Linked DNA regions of Lepisosteus oculatus. The protein of the gene in region 1 interacts with the protein of each later gene in a biochemical or structural test. Links are inferred from orthologs where the notes say so. Each region holds a gene or a part of one and is shown on either strand. Other genes may lie near its edges. The genes, in order: ube2b, ubr1 and rnf20.

Evidence for each region.
Region 2: the proteins of ube2b (region 1) and ubr1 form a complex in vitro, tested with the Homo sapiens proteins (2 studies listed by BioGRID and IntAct, with this or other methods). The link is inferred for Lepisosteus oculatus from reciprocal best matches to the Homo sapiens genes UBE2B and UBR1.
Region 3: the proteins of ube2b (region 1) and rnf20 form a complex in vitro, tested with the Homo sapiens proteins (4 studies listed by BioGRID, with this or other methods). The link is inferred for Lepisosteus oculatus from reciprocal best matches to the Homo sapiens genes UBE2B and RNF20.

What each region holds. Positions count from the first base shown.
Region 1 is NC_090706.1:23,899,232-23,906,294, reverse strand, and holds the start of ube2b (ubiquitin-conjugating enzyme E2 B), read left to right. Parts: upstream 1-4,027; 5' UTR 4,028-4,145; coding exon 4,146-4,189; intron 4,190-6,901; coding exon 6,902-6,982; intron 6,983-7,063. Other genes in the region: cyclin-dependent kinase-like 4, read right to left, coding at 522-718, 3,507-3,534. UniProt on the Homo sapiens protein: E2 ubiquitin-conjugating enzyme that accepts ubiquitin from the ubiquitin-activating enzyme E1 and transfers it to a E3 ubiquitin-protein ligase. In vitro catalyzes 'Lys-11'-, as well as 'Lys-48'- and 'Lys-63'-linked polyubiquitination.
Region 2 is NC_090703.1:18,756,743-18,764,305, reverse strand, and holds the start of ubr1 (E3 ubiquitin-protein ligase UBR1), read left to right. Parts: upstream 1-4,512; 5' UTR 4,513-4,622; coding exon 4,623-4,667; intron 4,668-7,532; coding exon 7,533-7,563. Other genes in the region: atxn3 (ataxin-3), read right to left, coding at 225-269, 1,744-1,908, 2,426-2,449. UniProt on the Homo sapiens protein: E3 ubiquitin-protein ligase which is a component of the N-end rule pathway. Recognizes and binds proteins bearing specific N-terminal residues that are destabilizing according to the N-end rule, leading to their ubiquitination and subsequent degradation.
Region 3 is NC_090701.1:42,019,817-42,027,150, forward strand, and holds the start of rnf20 (E3 ubiquitin-protein ligase BRE1A), read left to right. Parts: upstream 1-4,288; 5' UTR 4,289-4,394; intron 4,395-5,738; 5' UTR 5,739-5,750; coding exon 5,751-5,912; intron 5,913-6,748; coding exon 6,749-6,916; intron 6,917-7,334. UniProt on the Homo sapiens protein: Component of the RNF20/40 E3 ubiquitin-protein ligase complex that mediates monoubiquitination of 'Lys-120' of histone H2B (H2BK120ub1).

The DNA.
Region 1 (7,063 bases):
AAAGATATGGGTGACTTGTTTTGTTCATTGTACAGTGTCACTAAACAACCCTGCCCCTTTAAAAATAAAGATCATTACTCTTATGTCAAGGACATAAAATTGCTAGACATATGATGACCCATGGAAAGCCATATTTCACTTTTCTCTTTTGTCTGCTTCATCTTTTAAGTTTATACCACTATTAGACAGTGATCTAGAAGCATTTTTTTATGTACAGTAAACATGGATCTATATGGGGTACTGGGTTTGTGCAAATACAGATACCTTATGTCAGAGATATATAAGCAATAAAGCAGATATCACAAAAGGTAGATATAGGTTCTTATGGAAATTAAGAAATGTGGGTTCCTTTCAGGGCTGTAAACTGAATGTGAATCTAATTCTGAGGGTACAAATTCATAAAATAAACAGCCCCCCTCCTTTCCTTCTCCCACCCCAAAAATGGGAGAAAACAAAGGGGTTGGGTTTCTTATCACAATACATGAGATAATATTATTTAGTTCTCAGTAGTTTCTCCTTACCCTTAAGAATTTGATTTCTCTTGTGATTATCTTCTTCATAGTCGTGTCTTCTTCTGTGTCGGTGAATTTCTTGATGGCGACAATGTGGCCTGTTTCCTTATGCTTGCACTTCATGACCAATCCATAGCTTCCCTCTCCCACAATCCCAAGATTCTCATACATATCCATCATACCGGAGCATGGGCTGTGTATCACAACTATGCACAACAACAGAGCAAATGGTATTGTCTCCTAAAAAAGAGCACAGACATTCTTCTTTGCACTGCAGATACTTCAGAGAAAAATAAAATCGCATATCTTACTACTTACCTACTCTTCAGCAATGAAATAAAATAGCAGTACAAACAATGCCCTTCAGCGTATTCTTCTTTTTCTGCTTATTTTATTTTCACAGATCACTTTTATTCCTGGTTGCATTTTTTTCTATATATGTTTTGGAAAACTCCTCATTATTTAGCTTCATCTTGTAAACTGGAATACAATTACTATTATAACGCACCTCTCCTGACAGGTTATTTGGGCACATGAAACAATTTACAGAAATCTGAAAAGTTAAGAATTAGAAGTGAAGTTACCATGACAACAAACCAAACAGTCACAATAGAGAAAAAACATTCTGGAATACTACAGTAAAAGGAAGAACAGAGCACAAACTGAAGATAAAATGTTGATAGTAGCATTCTTTCAATTTATACATTTGTGTACATTGTAAGGAACAAAAAGAGGTTAATTCTACACTGAAAAGAAGTAAGAGAAGAATGCTTCAGTCTTTTCCAGAACTGTCAAAAAGCTGAAACATTGTTTTTTTAATTTATTTTTTTGTATTTTGGGGGGCATAATTAACCTTTCTTTGTACCTTATTAGCTTGCAGGCTAACACATCTCCCTTAATCAACATTTAAGTTAATATATCCATATATATTGAATTCTTAATTCAACAAGTCAAAATTAGATATTTATGCAGTGTTTGCAATACTATCAGACGTAGGTCTTTCAGACTTTTTTAAGTCTGTTTTAAGTATATACAATACAAAAATCTAATTTCTTGTGAGGATTTTGACCTAATCGGGAATAAATATACTGTACACAGTAGATTTATTTACTGAACTGTTTTATCATTCAAATACAGTGGATTACAAGAGTACATTTGCTCTTTTTTTAATTTAAATCAATCCAAAGGAGCTGTGTTAATACAAAATTCATCTGAGAGGAATGAGAAAGAGCTACAGCAATGCTGAGTCAAGACTGTTGGCACACAAAGTGATGGGGAAAAGCATAACACTGGCACTACACAGAAAAATATATACACTAGATATAAAAATATCAACCGACAGAAGAGACTAGGGACCGCTGCCACACTGGACAGGCCCAGGCTTTCAGTTACCATCCACGTCCCATTTGGCATGGCTTGTCATTACTGGACACCTTAATTAATTAATCAATTAATCAATCAATCAATCAATTATTAATAATAATAATGTTTACACTAATATAGCGCTTTTCTGGACACTCCACTCAAAGAGCTTTACAGGTGATGGGGACTCCCCTCCACCACAACCAATGTGCAGCATCCACCTGGATGATGCCAGAACACTCACCACACATCAGCTATCAGTGGGGAGGAGAGCAGAGTAATGAAGCCAATTCATTAATGGAGATTATTAGGAGGCCATGATTGGTAATGGCCAATGGGAAATTCGGCCAGGACACCGGGGTTACTTCCATAATCTTTTCGAGAAACGTCCTGGGATTTTTAATGACCACAGAGAATCAAGACCTTGGTTTTACGTCTCTTCCGAAGGACGGTGCCTGTTCACAGTCTAGTGTTCCCATCACTATACTGGGGCATTAAGACCCACATGGACTGCAGGGTGAGTGACCCCAGCTGGCCCCACTAACACCTCTTCGAGCAGCAACCTTAGTTTTTCCCAGGAGGTCTCCCATCCAGGTACCTGCTTAGCTTCAGTGGGTAAATAATAATAATTAATAATGATCATGCCACTGCTGATATTATAATGTGTCTTATCTATACAGGGATTACCTTTTAACTTCCCAGGCTGCTGGGAAAAAATGTGAAATGGAAAACCTTAAAATCCAAAGTATGAATAAAAATCTTCTGCAGCCCATTGACAGTTTCCTCTGGTAGCCCATGTGCTGCAAACAATATAAGCAGTTTCTCTGCCATCCAAATGTTGGTAGTGTAAGCCATGGGCACAACCTCAGGCCACCTAGAGTTTGTGTGCAACTGCGTACATTGATCTCTCTTTTCTTGCAAAGCCCAAATTTAACTGCTGCAGGGGCCTGACTGCTGCCTTCCACCGCAGAAGCAGCAGTTTACCAGGCAACTGTCTGTTTTGGCCAATGACATCTGCAAATAAAAGGTCCAGCTTCAGGACCTTGTATTTGAAGGCCACATCCTCTGCAACACCCATTAATCAAACAATTCCTGTGTATAGACTTTCAAGACACAATTTACAGGTTCCAGTTTAACTCTCTTAAAGTTATTTTCAGAACACCTGCCTAGAAACTGTACTCATACTCTGATGGGAAGAAAACAACATGATCTATGCTGGACCAACACTGGGTGTTTCAAGTTATTTTACTCATCAGTTTCACATTGTTCCATGTACAGTATGTGAGCCTATGATATATACACACATATTCTGTATGCGAACGTATATTAGAAGAAAACAATTTATGTTGATGGAAGTCTGGTCACGTTAATAGAACCCTTTAATTACCCCACTTCCAAATAGTAACTGAAACCTTAACTGCACTTCACAAATTGATCGAAGTTATTCCAATTTTATTCTCCATGATCTCAACATGTAACACCATTTGGACTTAACCTTTATTGTGAAGCACTTTTTTCAGTTTACTAAATATTTGCCATGCACAATTTGCTCAATATACCAAGCATACTGTAGGATATGCGAAATTAAACCAAATAATCTACTTTCCATTAATGGCCATAATGATTACCTACCAAACACCGCTGTTATGGAAAAAGGCATTTCGTTTTTTGGCCTGGTATGAAGGAGCAAAACGCACAAGAGGTGAAATTAGCTCAAAAATATACCGGCTCGGCTTTGGCTTTATGGTTGAAAAATTCTGAATTATATAAATGTAAACATTTATATATCTTATACATGATATCAAATGAAGTCACAAAAAAGACAGACTGCGCTCACCTAAGCCCTACCTCCAAAACACACATCACTTCTAATGCCACTGAGCCAACTGCTACAGCGTCTTATTTCTGTGGAAGCCGCACCAACTCTTCATTCTGGAGAGGGGTGGTGCGTAAAATTGAAAAATGTATGTATAAGCCCCACTAACGTAAACAGAATAAAGAGGACACAGTTCTAAAGGCTTTTTCTGATTAATAACAATTAATTCGCATTTATCTAAAATGAACCGTTCACCTTTCACTTTGTAGATAAAATTAAAATTGGACTATTCCAATCGGTCGATTCGTCACCTTTTATTTTATGGGAGGTCTATGACGTCACCCTAGTTGTTTGGAAGGAGCAAAAAAAGGCACAAGAGGTGAAATTAGCTCAAAAATATACCGGCTCGGCTTTGGTTTTATGGTTAAAAATTTCTGAATTTGTCATTTTGAACCATGTCTACCCCGGCCCGGAGGCGACTTATGAGAGATTTTAAAAGGTGAGCTCCATTTTTCTGAGCATTGTTTTTTTTTTTTCCATTGCCCAACAGTAATATTCAGTACGGCAGTGCTAGGCCTGTGCTTTTAGGTATTCAAGTTTCGACTGCCTGGTCGATATCTGCGGTGCATCGGTGCTTTTCTTGAAGGTGAACATATTTTTGGTGTGGGGGACTAATTAAAGCGAGTTGTCTTTCAAACCACTCTTTCGGCTTTCTTTGCAAAAAGGTTCCTTTTCGAGAACCGTGCCTGAATTTCTCACACGAGAGAATGCATATCCTTTTTTCTTTTCACGCTTTTTTCCCCCAGTAAACACAATACAAAAATTCAGCGGCGATTGTATATTTCCAAATTCACTGGTAATGCTGAGCTAATGTGATATCACCCCTCGATTGTGTCAAATGACTATATAAAGGAGAATAGCTCGCACAATGACAGCAGGACGCTGTTGGAAATTCATTTTCACTATTACTAGATTTTAAACGACACCAATAGACAGTAGATTCACCTTTTCAGGTTAAGTACAGGTCACATGTTTTTTAGTTGGGATCTTTTTCTTCCTGAAACCCAGAAACTGGCCGGTGCCCTATAATTCCTTGGTGGACAGGGGCAGACGGGCTGGGTTTGGTTAAGAAGTCGGTACTCGCAGTAGAGAGGATGTGTCCCTTTAATGTTATGTAACGGTCTTTTGGTGAAATGTTTGGTGTGGCCATCCCCTAGGATGTGTTGTGATTCCAGGAGTCTGGGTATTGTTCTTCAGGAGAAATTGAAGTTTTCCGTAAGCTGTAGGGAGGCCGTCTCTGAGCCTCTTATTTTATTATGGTTCTGGATAACGACGCCCAAACGTAGCCGATACAGTCTAACTAGATTTTATACTGTAATTACAATATTATTAATAATGCTACAGGTTATCATTGTAAAAATATCAAAAGCTGAATTTCGGGGCAGAAAACCCTCCTATCTCCTGTAACATCATTGTACCGTCTTCTCTGTTGGTAATATTTGTCTTCCTTGGTGTATTGTTGCATTTGTAAAGCAAATTTCACCCAGAGCATAATAAAGCTTGAATTGAATTCATGGTACATAGTACTTGGGGGGAAAAAATGGAAACTTTTCTAGTCCCTCTTTCTTTCTGGGTACCACTAGCTGAGAACTAAGGGATGTTGTAACTTGTCAGGTGAGTTTGTGGTATCACACTTGGTGTTGAATTTTGGGTCCTTCCTTTTCAATATATATATCCATTAACTGAAGGTACCTTTTATAGAATTGGATAACTGCTTTTCTTTTGGAAAACAACTTGCTGCTGGTTTTCAAAATCCAATTTTCCTTATTGTGGGGTGAAAAAAATATATTAATTTAATTTCAATGCAATTATTGGACTAGATATAAGCAATAAATAAAAACAGGGCTCTATGTTTTTGCAGCATTTTTACACAAATGTAACCTTTTCATAGTGTAACAGAAGAGCATTGCTGTTCTTCCTGGACCCTAAAATGCCATTTGGGAAACACATCTCCCCTTAAAACAACTGTATGTGCTGATGACATTTTTTCATTGGAATCTCTCAATCCACTCAGTTAAAAGCAGGCTTTACATCTTGGAGAAGAATATTTGCTGGTTAACATTTATATATGCCTGATATAATAGTGTATCGCAAAGCCTGAAGGTACAACATTTATGTTTTACAAGAAACACTTCATCTTTGACAGTGTTATGCAGCTGAATGTACCTTTGCAGACTAATGCATCATCTTTTCCTTCAGAAAACAATTTGATGAATCTGATGCTAGTTTTTTTAAATCCAGTTTCCCTGTTGTGGGTGGTTGTTGTTTGTTTTTTATTTAATTTCTTCTGTGATGGGAATTGAGCCCATCTTGAAGTAGGATAATCCCTGGGGCTGGGGCAGCAGTGGCACTGTCTGACAGTGCAGTCAGGAGCAGTGAGGCATGACCTGCATCAACCTTCTGTCATCACAGCAGACAGATGAAGGGCTCACGTGTGGAAGCCTGTACTTGAGACTGAGCTCTTTTTGTTTGCTAAGAGCAGCGCTAGACACCTGTTTGAGGTGCAGGTGGTTTGGAAACCTTACAAGAACAGACTCAAGGCGGCTGCTGTTAAGATGTAATCATTCGTGTCCCTTGAAGCTGGGGTATCAGATATTGGAAAGTGATCATAGTCATGCACTGGGATGACAGGCAGACATCTGCAGAACAGGAGCCTAAAGCCACAGGTTATTCGGATTATCACCAAATGTTTTTAACATTGTCATTACTTTCTGGTGCATCGGTCTCTGGTGGATGTGTTGTTTTGAGCTTTGGTAATATACTTAACACTTCTAATAAGATTAAACTGCTAGGGAATAGAATCTGCCACCTTTATCTTAAACAGGACCAGAACCAGCAAGCATTTTAATTCTTTTTTACTGGCAAAATAGAGCTTATACAGTACAGTTTTGTCTTAAGGTAACTCTAGACTGAATAATCCAGGCTCTGCAAGAAGGTTAAGATTAAAGAGAGCCATCCATTACTGAGACCTGTTTCCTGTTCTATACCTGCATTAAGGTAAACATGTGCCTTATAACAAGTCCTTTTAAAAAAAACCTTCAAGGCTTTTTCTAGGCTGGTCAGATTTGGAGCTTGTTTTCTATAATATTACTAAATCCTAAAAGTACATTTTCACCTACAGTATAAAACTCTATTATTTATGTCTTAAAAGGCTTCAAGAAGATCCTCCTGCTGGAGTCAGTGGTGCCCCATCAGAAAATAACATCATGCTGTGGAATGCAGTGATATTTGGGTGAGATTTAATAACCGTAATATTCTACTGGGCTTCCCATACTTTAGTAGAAAGCCAGATGGAAGCAGGTGTGATTTAAGT
Region 2 (7,563 bases), on another chromosome or scaffold:
ATATCATTTATATTATTTCAGCTTAAAATAATATTCCTTTTCTGTCTACAGTCTACACAGTTACCTTTAATTTAATAATGTTCTATGAAAGACACAAGAACTGCATGAAGTTACCTGTCAAATGAATAAATTAAGAATAAGAATAAATCCTGAAAATCCACCGGTTCTAATATTTAGTTTACATTTGAGTTTTTTTTTAAACTGTGCAACTTTATAAAACTCACTTGAATTGAAAAGAAGCCACTGTCATCCATGTTTCCAGATGGTTGCTGTGAGAACAGGAAAAAGACAAAGCTAGATACATGTTGTCATCAGTAAGTACTAGAGGAGTCCTAAAACAGTAGAAGTATAAGCTAGCACCTGAAATAGAAGGGATAGTCACATCTCCTTTTACAGAAGGAGAAATGCCAATCACTCATAGGCATCAGGAGAGGTGAGACCATAGTCAATGCTTGTGATGCAGGCCATTCTGTTCCACTCCTCTAAAGACATGTGTAAATCATTCTAAAACCAAGGTATTGAATACGAAAAAGCAGACAAGCACAAACTCTTAAAGGAACAAGTAATAGGTTTATTCCATGCTGAAAAAAAGAAGAAAGAGAACACAACGTTTCGGCCGTGGAGCCTTCTTCAGGTGTCACACCTGAAGAAGGCTCCACGGCCGAAACGTTGTGTTCTCTTTCTTCTTTTTTTCAGCATGGAATAAACCTATTACTTGTTCCTTTGCAGCCTACGCGTGCTGACGCAGCTACCCACCTGAACTACAAACTCTTAAATATTTAAATGTAGTCCAGGTAGAAGTAGTTCCCCTAAAGATACTTAGAGTGCAAAGCAAATATGCCCTAGGAACTAAACTGCCTATTAATGACCCGAGCTGTGCACCACAGGACTCTGTAAACACCTGGCGATTATTATTGTTAATATGCATGACAATGGGTCTGGTCTATATTTTGCTTGTACTGCAAGCAACGGGCTATAATTGATAACTTAATAAGGAATGCTGAGCTCACATCCATCCATTTTCTAACCATTATCCTGTTCAGGATCAAGGGAAACTGGTCAAGACACCAGTCTACTGCAGGACACACACAGAAAAAAACACAAACATGCACACACAAACACCAGGGCCAACTTTCCCACAAGCCAATTCACCTAGCACTATATCTTTGGACTGTGGGAGGAAACTGGAGCACCTGGAGGAAACTCACACGAACACAGGAAGAACATACAAACTCCAGCGTGCCACCCTCCAAGCTCACATTATGAATTAAATTGTTCATGAAGAATTTGGAGAGGAAGGACACATATGTGCAGTGTCCCAGAAAGCAGTATCTCAGTTACAATCAGTGAGACAAAAAAGTACACCCACTGTGTGGCCATCAGAATATTTGCCCACAATATCTGTTAATATTCAAACAGAGCTCCTAGTGGCCTTAAGAATCAGTTCAAGGGATTGCTCAGATTGCTCACAGGGTCTCTAGAGACAGAGGAAAACCAACTGTTCAATCTATCACCATAACAGTGCAACATTTTCAATCTAACACAGCTCACCTGATCTGATAGAACTGAGTTAACCTGTTGCCCTACAGTTCAGTTCATTGTTTCAGAATTAATGGTAACATTACTTATAACAGTTGTAGGGTCCTGCTTGATTTTGCTCAGATTGCTGGAATTGGAAGACAAAAGTCTTGAAAAGGGCTCTCCTGCCCCCCCCCATAAATGGCCAAGCCCCAGTGCTGTTACCTGCAGAAAGGTCCTATACTCCTCGCTAGTGACTCCTCCTTCTGCCATTCTAATCCGCTCCTCTTCGTCCAGTTGCTGTGCGATGGAGGACAGCTCGACAGGGCTGAAATACTCCCCCTGGAGTAGGTTATTCAGACAATGCTGGGCGCAAAGGGAGCCCTCTTGCTATGACAGAGAGTACAACAGTCAACTCAAAATAAGGAGTTCACTTTTTAAGCAACCAAACAACACGATTTTAGACAGCCACACCCTGCAATCAATGATAATACAAAGACATCTTACACACATGATTACATCTACAATATGGAAATTAAAGAAGGCAAACTGTACTTAAAAAAATGTATATGAATTATATGAAAAAGTGGTGGAAGCTGATCGATACCTACTGCATATGCAAAACTAACCAAACCAGACTCAGTTATACATCGAGGAATTTCCCAGATAACTTTAAACACGTTTATACATGTACGTTGCTCCAGTGAAGTTTGCCAAAGCAGAAACAGTAGTCTTTTAAAGAACATAAACATTGGAGGTTTCACTAGTTAAAAGAGGAAAATGCAGAAGAATTTTAAAGTTTCATTCATTCGTTTTATTAAAATCACGGTTTGAGGTAGCCAGACAAACCACACACTAATATATTTAAATCCCCCCGAATCGGATTAAATGTTTCAAAACGACTTACTTTCTCGTGAAAAATGGAATCCATATTTGATCCTTCTGTTGACTAACATACTTTGAACCTTGACCTTCCGGGGGATGGGTCATGCAAACGCGGCCTATCAGTAAATCGTTCGTCATGTGACAACAGTTCGGTAGGTGGGTCTTCTAGCGGAAGTATGAGGACCTTTTTGTCTTTTTTTTTTTAAAGTCTGAGAAACTCTCGGGAAAGTTAAGTATTTCTGACATCAAATTATATATATTTACTTAATGTAGGGGCGACTTGTATTCAGAAACATTTAAAAATAATAAGAAGTTTAATAAAAAATGCAAAGATACTTCTAGACAAAAACAATATAACAAACATAAGTAATAAAATAATCAAATTTATTCCGGCAACAAACTGCCAAAGATATCAAGTAAATAAAAAATGTTTTGTAACAGGTTCTATCATATGCATTCATTATTTAATAATGAAATTATTAAGACGTAGTCATCTTTATTAAATGTTGATTAATATGTATTATCAGCAGAGGCTCTTTTGTGAAAATCCCAGGCAGAAGTGTGTGGCCACGTTTGGAAGCTATATAAGGTGTACTTCTGAGAAGCCTGATTGGCACCAGGTTGCAGGTGTCTTGTGGGGTTCCTCTAGTAGAGCCTGGATAAGCATGAGCCTGTTCAATGGTTTCTGAGCCTTAAAAGCCTCTTCTTGTCCCAATTCATCCAGCAAATGTTTAAGGGGGCTCAAGTCTGGCAAGTAGGACATTCAGAATTGCGCTATTAGTCATTGTGATCTCTGAAAGGCAATATTACCCCAGAAAAAGGAGTGTGTGTGTGTGTTGTCCTGCTGGCATGTCGCTGGATGGTTTGATAAAATTACCTCATCATTATGCTTTTCTGTGTCACAGTAGCTGATGTGCCACTTCTGGATTCCAACATATATTTAATGTTGGATGTTCACTTAATAAGCAACAAGTCTGGCAAGTGATGTATTCAATATGACCTTTGAGGCTTTAAATAATCTGGCTCCTTCATGCATCTCTGAATGGCTTTATGTTTACACTCCTTCTCATACAGTCTTTTCAGTCGAGATCTTTTGCTCACTAAACCCGGGACTTAATATCACACTTTTGGTGACAGTGCTTTTTCTTACTCCATTGTTATGGAATGTCATTTCTTGTCAAGAGACACATTCTCTGTCTGTTTCAAATCTAAGCGTAAAATGCACTACTAGGGCCTATGAATAATTTCCTTGGGTTTGGAAAGGTGCTTTGTAAATTAACGTTGTTGTTACATGTATTATTATTTTTATTACTGATTTTCACCAGGTGAATTTGAATTAATCAAAATGATTAAAAAATAATAACAATTGCTTACATTTATATAGCGCTTTTCTTTACACTCCACTGAAAGCGCTTTACAGGTAATGGGGACTCCCCTCCACCACCACCAATGTGCAGCCCCACCCTGGATGATGTGACAGCAGCCATAGTACACCAGAACACTCATCACACTCCAGCTATCAGTGGGAGGAGAACAGAGTGATGAAGCCAATTCATAGATGGGGAATATTAGGAGGCCAATGGGACATTTGGGGTAACACCCCTACTCTTTTTGAGAAACACCCTGGGATTTTTAATAACCATAGAGAGTCAGGACCTCAGTTTTACGTCTTATCCGAAGGACGGTGCCTTTTTACAGTATAGTGTCCCCGTCACTATACTTAGACATTAGGACTCACATAGACCGCAGGGTGAGCGCCCCACTAACACCTCTTCCAGCACCAACCTTAGTTTTTCACAGGAGGTCTCACATCCAGGTAGTGACCAGGCTCACACCTGCTTAGCTTCAATGGGTTGCCAGTTGTGAGTTGCAAGATGATATGGCTGCTGGCAGTAAGAAAATAAACATTTAATCAACATCCAAAATCAGTATACTTCATTTTTTTTAATGACAAACATGCACAGTAATAGGCTTCTTTCGGTACTCAATATAGTTTCAGTTGTAGTAAGGTGAGATTTATGAAGTCTGTACCTTTCTACTTTTCTATTCCAGTACATGTCTCTAGAGAGCCTTAGGAGTATTACAGGCACTGGTATGTGTGCATGTTGCGTACAACCATGCCGTGTAAAGACAGATACTGTCGCTTGCCACAATGTCGTAAAGCAGTTTTGGGACCTGTCTCACACGTTGTCCTGGTAACAGATTACGGCAGATGAAAGATGGCGGAAGGTGAAGAGACATTAACAAAACGAGAGCTCAGTATGGTGAGTATATTTAATTTTATTTTGGTAATTTTCTACGTTTACTTATTGCGTATATTTCTTTTCTTCGATTTGTATACTACTTCGATACTAGCTTTTTTCTTTTCTACAAATACTATTCTTCTTACCTGGGGTTGAATTTTGGTTAGATTTCTTGAAGGAATTATAGCAAACTGCTGCAATTTAATTTTTCTTTTAAGATCTCAGTACAGGATTGGAAACAATAGATGACAGTGGATATGTATTTAATTCACAATGCATTGCTTTTCAAATAAAAGTGCAAGAGTGACACTGCCTGATCTCACTAGTTTAAAATCGACCTGAATCTTGGGTTTTATTGGTTTTTCAAGAGACTCAACAAGAGCTGCTTGTAGTTAATAACATTGAATAATATGGTAGTGATACTTGAAAGATCAATAGTATTCTGTTTGGAAAGGGACGGAAGTTTGTGGTTAAGTACGCTCATAGAAGATCGACATTTTAAAAATGTATATAACTTTTATTGATTGTTTTTGTTATTCTGTGGATTATAAGAGGAAAAATAGCGTGTGACAGTATTGCAAGTGATATATTTCATTATCATACAATGGAATAAAAACGAAACAATAAAACAGAAAACTTGGCGCTATTCATAAGAAAAATATGACTTTTTTCTTCGTTTTTTTTAAGTAAGCAAATCTTAGTTAAATTTATTGGAAGCATCTCAACATCTTAGAACTAAAACTCGGAAATTATTGTAATCATGAATTGCATGTGCTTTAATTTTTAATACGTAAGTCCCACGTAGACTAGACTTGAGGACTACCAATTAAACACAGAGTTTCACTTTTACTTTGTTTATATCAGTATTGTTTTCTGGATAAATCCAGCTTTACAAGGAAGCACACTTTAAGGACACTTTCTCAGCGTTTCAAAACTGTTGTGAAACATCTTTGAAAACTGACAGTACAAAGGTGAATTTCTGTGACATTTGTAAAATCTAAAGACCTAAATACAGACATACAAAGTTAACTAAACTAAGATTGTTAGTAAATTACTGAATTTACTAAACAGCTTTTTGAACATCATAATTTAGGATATACCTGCAGTGTCTTGGAAAAGTATTCAAGCCCTTTCATTGGTGTTTGATTTTTACCTTTTCATTGATGAAATTACAAAATGATGCCTACCAATTTCTTAAACTTAATATTCAAGATAAAGTAATACAAACAATGAAATAATGCATAAATATTTAGACCCATGAACTTAATATTTGGTGTAAGCATCTTTGGTAGTAATCACAGCCACAAGTGGTTTTGGGTAAGTCTCTTCCAATTTAGCACACCAGCTTTGTGCAATTCCTGCCCATTCTTGGCAGATTTGCTTAAGTTGTCTCATGTTGCTTTTGGATTACTCACAGACAGCAGCCTTGCTATTGATTCCTATTGAGTCAAGAATTCTATCGAGACTTAGACTGGGCTACTCAATATAGGGAATACACTTTCTAATTGCCTTTTTGGCCTTCTACTTTGGTTAATTGTCCTGCTGAAAGATGAATTTTCATCCCAGTTTTATGTCTGAAGCAGGTTTTCCTGTAAGATTTGCCAGTTCTTTGCTCCATCTCAGTTCCTATCGGATAAACTTCACTGTTTCTCTTGATGAGAAGCTATAAGACGATGCTGCCACCATCATGCTTTGCAGTGGGGGTGTTTATTGAGTGGTTCACTATGGGTTTGTGTCAGATGTAACACTGCATTTAGACCTGAAAAGTCAAATTCTGTGTTATCTGACAATAAAACTATTTGTGACATGTTTGCATTACCAGTTAAATATTAAGTTGAAAGGTTCTTGTGGTTTTTTAGATGTTAGTATGTCAATTCCATTCAAGGGTTTGTGGAATAACTGGAATATTGTTAAACTATGGACATTTTCTATCAACTGTCTGGTTGCCTTCACTTCTTAATCAACTTCACCATGCTCAAAGACATATTAAGGGCATATGTAATTTGAAAGACATATCATTTATACCTTTCTTCTGATTAGTGCTTTTGTACAACTTTAGGAGTTGATAACTCCTGGTCTTGATGGTTGGATTTTTCCTTGAAATTCACCACATGACTGAGGTATATTACAGCGTGTATTTATTCTGAAATCATGTGAACAACTTTTACTGTACACAGACTGAGATCTAAGGTAATTTTGTATATCTAAATAAATTAAGTTTGCCACACTAGAAAGGTTTTAAAAGTGATACAATCATTCTTTCATATTATTTACTTATTTTTGTTTTTGTTTTGACTGTGTGTGGAGTAGGTTGAAGAAAAATATATATGGCTGTTTTGTGTGTCATGACAACAAAACTGTGAAGACAATGCAAGTGTCTGAATGCTTTTATGAGACACCATAACCGTGTAAAGTTTTTCAAATCTATACATTAACAATGGCTCTAACTATAGCATTTTTTAGGAAATGCATTATTGATTTAAATTCATTTTGTCACCTTGAATGATTGATTTTAGGTTGATCATGGATCATTTAATGTTTTTGTTTTTCGGTTTTCAAAGTCAGGAATGATTAGGATATCTGCTGAAATATTTGGAACAGTGGAATTTGGGGGAAAAGATTAAAAAGGAAATTAACATATTGGTAAAGATACAAAATTTAAATTAGCCAAGTTTTTACTAGATGAAATCCCCCGTGTAAAAAAACCCCAAACCTCCATTTTTGGCAAAACGTTGATGTCATCAATTTGAGGTGCACAAAATAAACCCTGAGGCACAAGGATTTATACAGGACCTTCAGTGCCTCAGGATACGTTGTTCAACATTTAAAAACAGAAGTCACAGTTGAGTAACAAAGCTGTGGAAAAATGTGCCTTTTCTCTTCTAGATGTGGAAGGAGCTGCCTGATTTTGGTCCAG
Region 3 (7,334 bases), on another chromosome or scaffold:
GTCCAGTTACAATAAGAGCTACAGTCCCAGTACAGTAGAGCAACCTGCTACAATAGGAGCTACAGTCCCAGTACTGTAGAGCAGTCCTGTTACAATAGGAGCTACAGTCCCAGTACAGTAGAGCAGTCCTGTTAGAACAGGAGTGTTAATGGCCAGCTGCAGCTCCACTCTGTCAGAGTGCAGTGTTCACGCTGGGCTTGGCTGATTTCACTGACTGGGGGAGCAAAGATCAGCACTCTGTGGAACAAACACAGCAGTAAACACACTAGGCTGAATTCAAACCTTGCTATTGTGCTGAATTCCCTCTGTTCTCTCTGTATCTTTCCAGCTCTCTCTATCTCACTATATCTCCAACACATAGTATCTCCTCTCACTCCCTGCCCATCCTGCCCCACAACCCAGACAGAGTACTGCATCATCCTTCCTTACAGCACCATCTCTCAAACTCTCTCTCTCAGTGCAGTGTTAATGTCCTGTAGTGTCCAGTCAGTGTGTCTGGACTGTATTAACCCCTCTCTCTCAGTGCAGTGTTAATGTACTGTAGTGTCCAGTCAGTGTGTCTGGACTGTATTAACCCCTCTCTCTCAGTGCAGTATTAATGTCCTGTAGTGTCCAGTCAGTGTGTCTGGACTGTATTAACCCCTCTCTCTCAGTGCAGTGTTAATGTCCTGTAGTGTCCAGTCAGTGTGTCTGGACTGTATTAACCCCTCTCAGTGCAGTGTTAATGTCCTGTAGTGTCCAGTCAGTGTGTCTGGACTGTATTAACCCCTCTCTCTCAGTGCAGTGTTAATGTCCTGTAGTGTCCAGTCAGTGTGTCTGGACTGTATTAACCCCTCTCAGTGCAGTGTTAATGTCCTGTAGTGTCCAGTCAGTGTGTCTGGACTGTATTAACCCCTCTCTCTCAGTGCAGTGTTAATGTCCTGTAGTGTCCAGTCAGTGTGTCTGGACTGTATTAACCCCTCTCTCTCAGTGCAGTGTTAATGTCCCGTAGTGTCCAGTCAGTGTGTCTGTACTGTATTAACCCCTCTCTCTCAGTGCAGTGTTAATGTCCTGTAGTGTCCAGTCAGTGTGTCTGGACTGTATTAACCCCTCAGTCTCTGTGTGCAGGAAAGGCAGGCAGGCTGTAACAGGGGGTAACAGGTGTAACTGGGAGAAGGAGAGAGATTTGGCCCCAGAAAGATAGATTCCCCTTCACCTGTAAATCCTCTTACGTAAGCCATCCCCACATGGGTAAGGACAGATACTGGGGTGCTCCTAGTGTACCCCAGCTTGGTGGTGCCTGTCCTGTCTCTCAAAGCAGTGTCTGGGCAGACAGCTGGGGTCCCCACGCGCAGGCTCATGTGTGTTGAGTGAAGGGACTGAAACACCGACTGTGCTGTCTGTGTCAGAGCTCATCCCACGTTCCATGGCATCGAGCCCTCAGAGGGCACGTGGTCCCGTCACAGAGCCTTTCCCCAGCAGGGCTGGTCCCCACCTTTCCACTGGGGTACAGCCCCTCCCTCCAGGTACAACTGCAGTGTCCGCAGCAGGAGTTCGAAGCCACAATCCCAGACACCCACCATGCTGCCCTCTGGAACTGGCAAGAGGCAGACAGAATACAGCAGTGCAGTGGAAACAGGAAATACTGGAAACAAGAGGAGCCAAAACAACACGCACATGTCCCAATCAGGCTAGAGCAGCAAGAGGACAACGTTGGTTGTCACTGGTGCCTTTATTGAGGCTGCTCTCTACATGGACGGACAGCACGGGTTTGAAAAGTAAGGCTTTGATTGAATTGTCAGAGCTCCACAAACAAGCACCCAGGACTGAAACTACACTAAATTTCCCTCATGGGGTCAATAAAGTATCTATCATCTATCTAAAGAACACAAGAAGATATATCTTCTTACAGGTGTGAGCAGTGGAGTGTCTCAGGTGACAGGTGTGAGCAGTGGAGTGTCTGATTGGGCAGGTGTGAGCAGTGGAGTGTCTCAGATGTCAGGTGTGAGCAGTGGAGTGTCTCAGGTGACAGGTGTGAGCAGTGGAGTGTTTCATGTGACAGGTGTGAGCAGTAGAGTGTCTGATTGGGCAGGTGTGAGCAGTGGAGTGTCTCAGATGTCAGGTGTGAGCAGTGGAGTGTCTCAGATAACAGGTGTGAGCAGTAGAGTGTCTGATTGGGCAGGTGTGAGCAGTGGAGTGTCTCAGGTGACACGTGTGAGCAGTGGAGTCTCTCAGATGTCAGGTGTGAGCAGTGGAGTGTTTCAGATGTCAGGTGTGAGCAGTGGAGTGTCTCAGATGACAGGTGTGAGCAGTGAAGTGTCTCAGATAACAGGTGTGAGCAGTGCAGTGTCTCAGATAACAGGTGTGAGCAGTAGAGTGTCTGATTGGGCAGGTGTGAGCAGTGGTTGTGAAGATCAGACACACTGCCTGCTATGAATCTGTTCATTTTGACTCAGGGTTCCCAATATTCTGGCCACTGAGTGTACATGTACATGCTGGAAATGTAAATGATATTCCTAGAGTTCTCATTGAGTGATGTTGATAAATGTTGTTTTGTGTCATGTTATTGTACTGTTGTTGCATTGTATTTATGTCGTATATAGTATGTTATATTTTTATGAGCTCTTGATCTGCAAGACAAATTCCCTTAGAGCCAATAAAGATTGATTAACTAAATTATAAATACACAGTTCAGTACAGAAAGAGACAAACATGGCCACATCTCCCTAGACTGAAACACAGACCACAATGAATGTGGTTAAGATTTAACTCCCAGATCTAATCATTCTTACCCAGAAATTGCTCCATGATTCAGTCAGGCAGTGCTATCTTTCCAAGCACTGCAGATAAGAGAAAGTTACACAATGTGAACCCTGACCCACAGCTGAAGTATTAGCTTCCAGAAAGATACCGTGCTGCAGTTTGATGCAGGACTGAATTGATATTAATTTCTCTGTCTATTAAGTAGCTGTCTGGTTATGCAATGAGTTGAAGATTATTATGAGGCGTCAAAGGTATGGTTCTGTATGGAACAGTCCTGGCTTGCCTTTCACTTAGACTCCTCGACAGGGAAGATCAGACCTTCTCTGAGTGTAGCCCAGTGCGCTACAGTGACACACTGAGCACTCCTGTCTGAGTGTAGCCCAGTGCGCTACAGTGACACACTGAGCACTCCTGTCAGAGTGTAGCCCAGTGCGCTACAGTGACACACTGAGCACTCCTGTCAGAGTGTAGCCCAGTGCGCTACAGTGACACACTGAGCACTCCTGTCTGAGTGTAGCCCAGTGCGGTACAGTGACACACTGAGCACTCCTGTCAGAGTGTAGCCCAGTGCGGTACAGTGACACACTGAGCACTCCTGTCAGAGTGTAGCCCAGTGCGCTACAGTGACACACTGAGCACTCCTGTCTGAGTTTAGCCCAGTGCGCTATAGTGACACACTGAGCACTCCTGTCAGAGTGTAGCCCAGTGCGCTATAGTGACACACTGAGCACTCCTGTCAGAGTGTAGCCCAGTGCGCTATAGTGACACACTGAGGATTCACATCAAATAAATATAATTTTCTTCTTGCATCCATTTTCTAAGTACTCCAGTTCAGGGTTGTGGGGGAGTCGGAGTCTATCCCAGTAAGCAGTGGGTGAAAGGCACAGCACACCCTGGATGGGACACCTGTCCATCACAGTGCACACAGAAACACACACACACACCAGGGCCTGTTTTCCCAGAAGCTAATTAACCTGACAGTATGTCTTTGGACTGTGGGAGGAAACCAGCATGAACACAGGGAGAACATATCAACTTCACACAGACAGCACCCCAGGAATTAAATCCATGGTCTTAACAAGGCTAACCGCTTGTGCCACCTGATTTATATCTCCGTTAGTACTACCAATAATAAGAATAATGGAACAAGTCATAGGTTTATTCCAGGCTGAAAAGAGGAGAAAGAAAACACAACGTTTTGGCCGTGGAGCCTTCTTCAGGTGTGAGGGTGTGTGTGTAAGCTCACACCTGAAGAAGCCTCCACGGCCAAAACGTTGGGTTTTCTTTCTCCTCTTTTCAGCATGGATTAAACCTATTACTTGTTCCTTCGCAGCCTAAGCATGCTGACGCAGCTACCCAGCTGAAGTGTAATACTAATAATAATGTCACAGGAGCAGTATTATCAGTTGAGGTGATCCCACAGTAATCGAGGCCCTGCCCAGGCCGATATGACCTCCCACCACCAGGTGGCGCGATACCGTCCCGAGAGCCGCGCACAGCGCCCCGCCAACAAATAAAGCAGGTTGTGGTTTAACTTCCGCTTCCGTAAGCAGGAGACGGGGATAGAGAGGGTGGGAGCTGGAGGTGTACACAAATCTAAAACATGAATCATTGAGACCGGCGTTAAAGGCAAGACTTCGGGAGAACTTTCGGTAAGAAAACGAAGACGCTATGAGTGACTTTAGCGCAGGAGGTGAATGAGAAGATAACGTTAGTGTTGTGTAGTTGCCCTGGTCGTGTAGTGGTGTACGTGTGTGTAAGCTGTGTGTTTGTGTGTTGGGTGTAGCGCTGAGTTTATATCAGCATCTTTCTGTGCTGATATAAAAGATTTTCTGCGTTAGATAGTAAAATTACTAGAGATCACTGCTCTCTCCAGCAGAGAGAAACTACGGGGGCTCATCGGTCTCCCTGTTAGTAAACTTCCCGGGGCTCACCGCTCTCCCTGTTAGTAAAATTACTGGGGCTCCCCGGCTTCTGTCAGAGACAGCGAAATTAATTCTCATCTGTACAAGAGCTTGCAGCAGGTTAACGCTGGAGAGGCGCAGACTGCTGGGCAGTGGGAGTTTGCCTGCCTGTCCTACCTGCAGCCACTTCATGAAATGAGTCTTGAATTGGTTTGCTCAACCAGCTATGCTCAAGACTTTCTTATAATGGAGCATGTCACCAGCTCTGGGGTGTGTAGTCACTCAGGGCGTGTGTGCCCTCCATCAAGAGAGTTTATCTGTCTGAATGTGCAAGGAAGCTGAGTCTCCCTTCATTCGGAGTATTCCTGATCCTGATTCCCAACAGAGACTACTTCAGGCCATCCAGAGGCCAGAAAGCCCTTTTCCAGTCCTGGCTCTGTATCGGCCCTGTCTCTGCGCATCACTCTGATGGTGCTGTGTTCTCTGGCTCTCTGGAGTTTGCAGCTGAGCTTCTTTCACTGGCTCTCCGGGTCTTCACTCGAGCTGAGCTCTCTTGTGCTCTCCGGACACTGGAGCGAGCAGGATGTGGCGTTTGAGCTGCCCTGTGGGGTTTATCGGCTGTTACAGGGACGCAGGTAGATTCTCCAGGAGGCCCCTGGCAGCAGGCAGAGGACTTTAAACAACTTGACACCCCAATGTCTTTAAAACGCCCCACACTAGGGGGCTGATCTGAGACGCCGTCGCAATCAACAGAAACTGAATCGGACGAGTTTCAGAGATTCCCTGAGCTTCTGTGCCGGGAAGAGTGGTTGAGTCCTGAGACTTCAACTCTGCTTTTATTTGTTGCTTCGAGTCTAGGAAGGGGCTTTGCTGGGCCAAGGTGTGGAGAAACCAGGCTTGCCAGGGAGAGCAGTGTGTCTCCTCCTCTGGCTCAGGCGGACAGGCCTGCGGTCGCGTCTGGGCGAGAGGCTGAGAAAGTCTCACGCCTGCAGCACTTCCTGCCCCAGCTGCATCTTGGGAGCGGGCCGGTGCACCGTGGGATACGTGCCGCAGCTTGGCGCCGGCGCCATCTTGACCTGCTCTCTGTCCTAGGCTGGGCCAGCGATGTCGGGGCTGAAGCGCCCTGCTGACCCCCTGACCTCCGGGCCCCCCGAGAAGCGGCGGGAGCGAGAGAGGGAGGGGGAGAGGGAGGCGGAGGACGGGGGAGCTGCGGGCGGCAGCACCGCTGTGGAGACGGTCATCAAGCTGGGGGGAGTGTCCAACACTGTGAGTCCCACCCCCTGTCCAACATCAGGCCATCACCCTGGCTCTGTCAGCTGTCCATACACTGTCTCCTACCAGACTGATATTGTGAAGACGTCTTGTTACACATTTCTCTCAGTGCAGTATTAGTGTCCTGGAGTGTCCAGTCAGTGTGTCTGGACTGTATTAACCTCTCTCTCTCTCAGTGCAGTGTTAATGTACTGGAGTGTCCAGTCAGTGTGTCTGGACTGTATTAACCCCTCTCTCTCAGTGCAGTGTTAATGTCCTGTAGTGTCCAGTCAGTGTGTCTGGACTGTATTAACCCCTCTCTCTCAGTGCAGTGTTAATGTCCTGTAGTGTCCAGTCAGTGTGTTTGGACTGTATTAACCCCTCTCTCTCAGTGCAGTGTTAATGTCCTGTAGTGTCCAGTCAGTGTGTCTGGACTATATTAACCCCTCTCTCTCAGTGCAGTGTTAATGTACTGGAGTGTCCAGTCAGTGTGTCTGGACTGTATTAACCCCTCTCTCTCAGTGCAGTGTTAATGTCCTGTAGTGTCCAGTCAGTGTGTCTGTACTGTATTAACCCCTCTCTCTCAGTGCAGTGTTAATGTACTGGAGTGTCCAGTCAGTGTGTCTGGACTGTATTAACCCCTCTCTCTCTCAGTGCAGTGTTAATGTCCTGTAGTGTCCAGTCAGTGTGTCTGGACTGTATTAACCCCTCTCTCTCAGTGCAGTGTTAATGTCCTGTAGTGTCCAATCAGTGTGTCTGGACTGTATTAACCCCTCTCTCTCAGTGCAGTGTTAATGTCCTGTAGTGTCCAGTCAGTGTGTCTGGACTGTATTAACCCCTCTCTCTCTCAGGAGGAGCAGGATATCCGAGCTCTCCAGGTTAAGAACAGGAAGCTGGGAGAGGCTCTTGACCAGAGGCAGGTGATTGAGGATGAGCTGCGAGATCGAGCTGAGAGGCTGGAGAGACGGCAAGCAACTGATGATGCCAGTCTGCTCATCCTGAACCGCTACTGGAACCAGGTAATGCTCCACGCTGCTCAGGGCGTGCCCTGACGCCGGTCCATCGGCAGGTGCTGCTCACACACCACTGTGGCTATGAGAGGCTCAGTTTCCAGCAGCTGGAAAAGATGCCCGTGATGCTCAGGTGTGGCCATGCTACACTTGGAATGCTGGGGCCTTTTGTGGTTTCTGCTCAATATTTAATAACGATTCTGGACTTTATATCCTGCGTGTGGCTTATGTTTGCATTAATGTTTGCCAATGCAGATGAAGCAGATGGTCTAGACAGTCCTCATGATATGCGCGCTATCCATCTGTGTATCCTTTTGTGTATATCGCGCTGTGTATATCGCGCCCAGCCTCTGGATACGAGTGTGCCTGCGGTTGGACCTGTTGGTACGTTCAGTGCGCCTGTATTGACCTGCCACTCTCCCGCCCC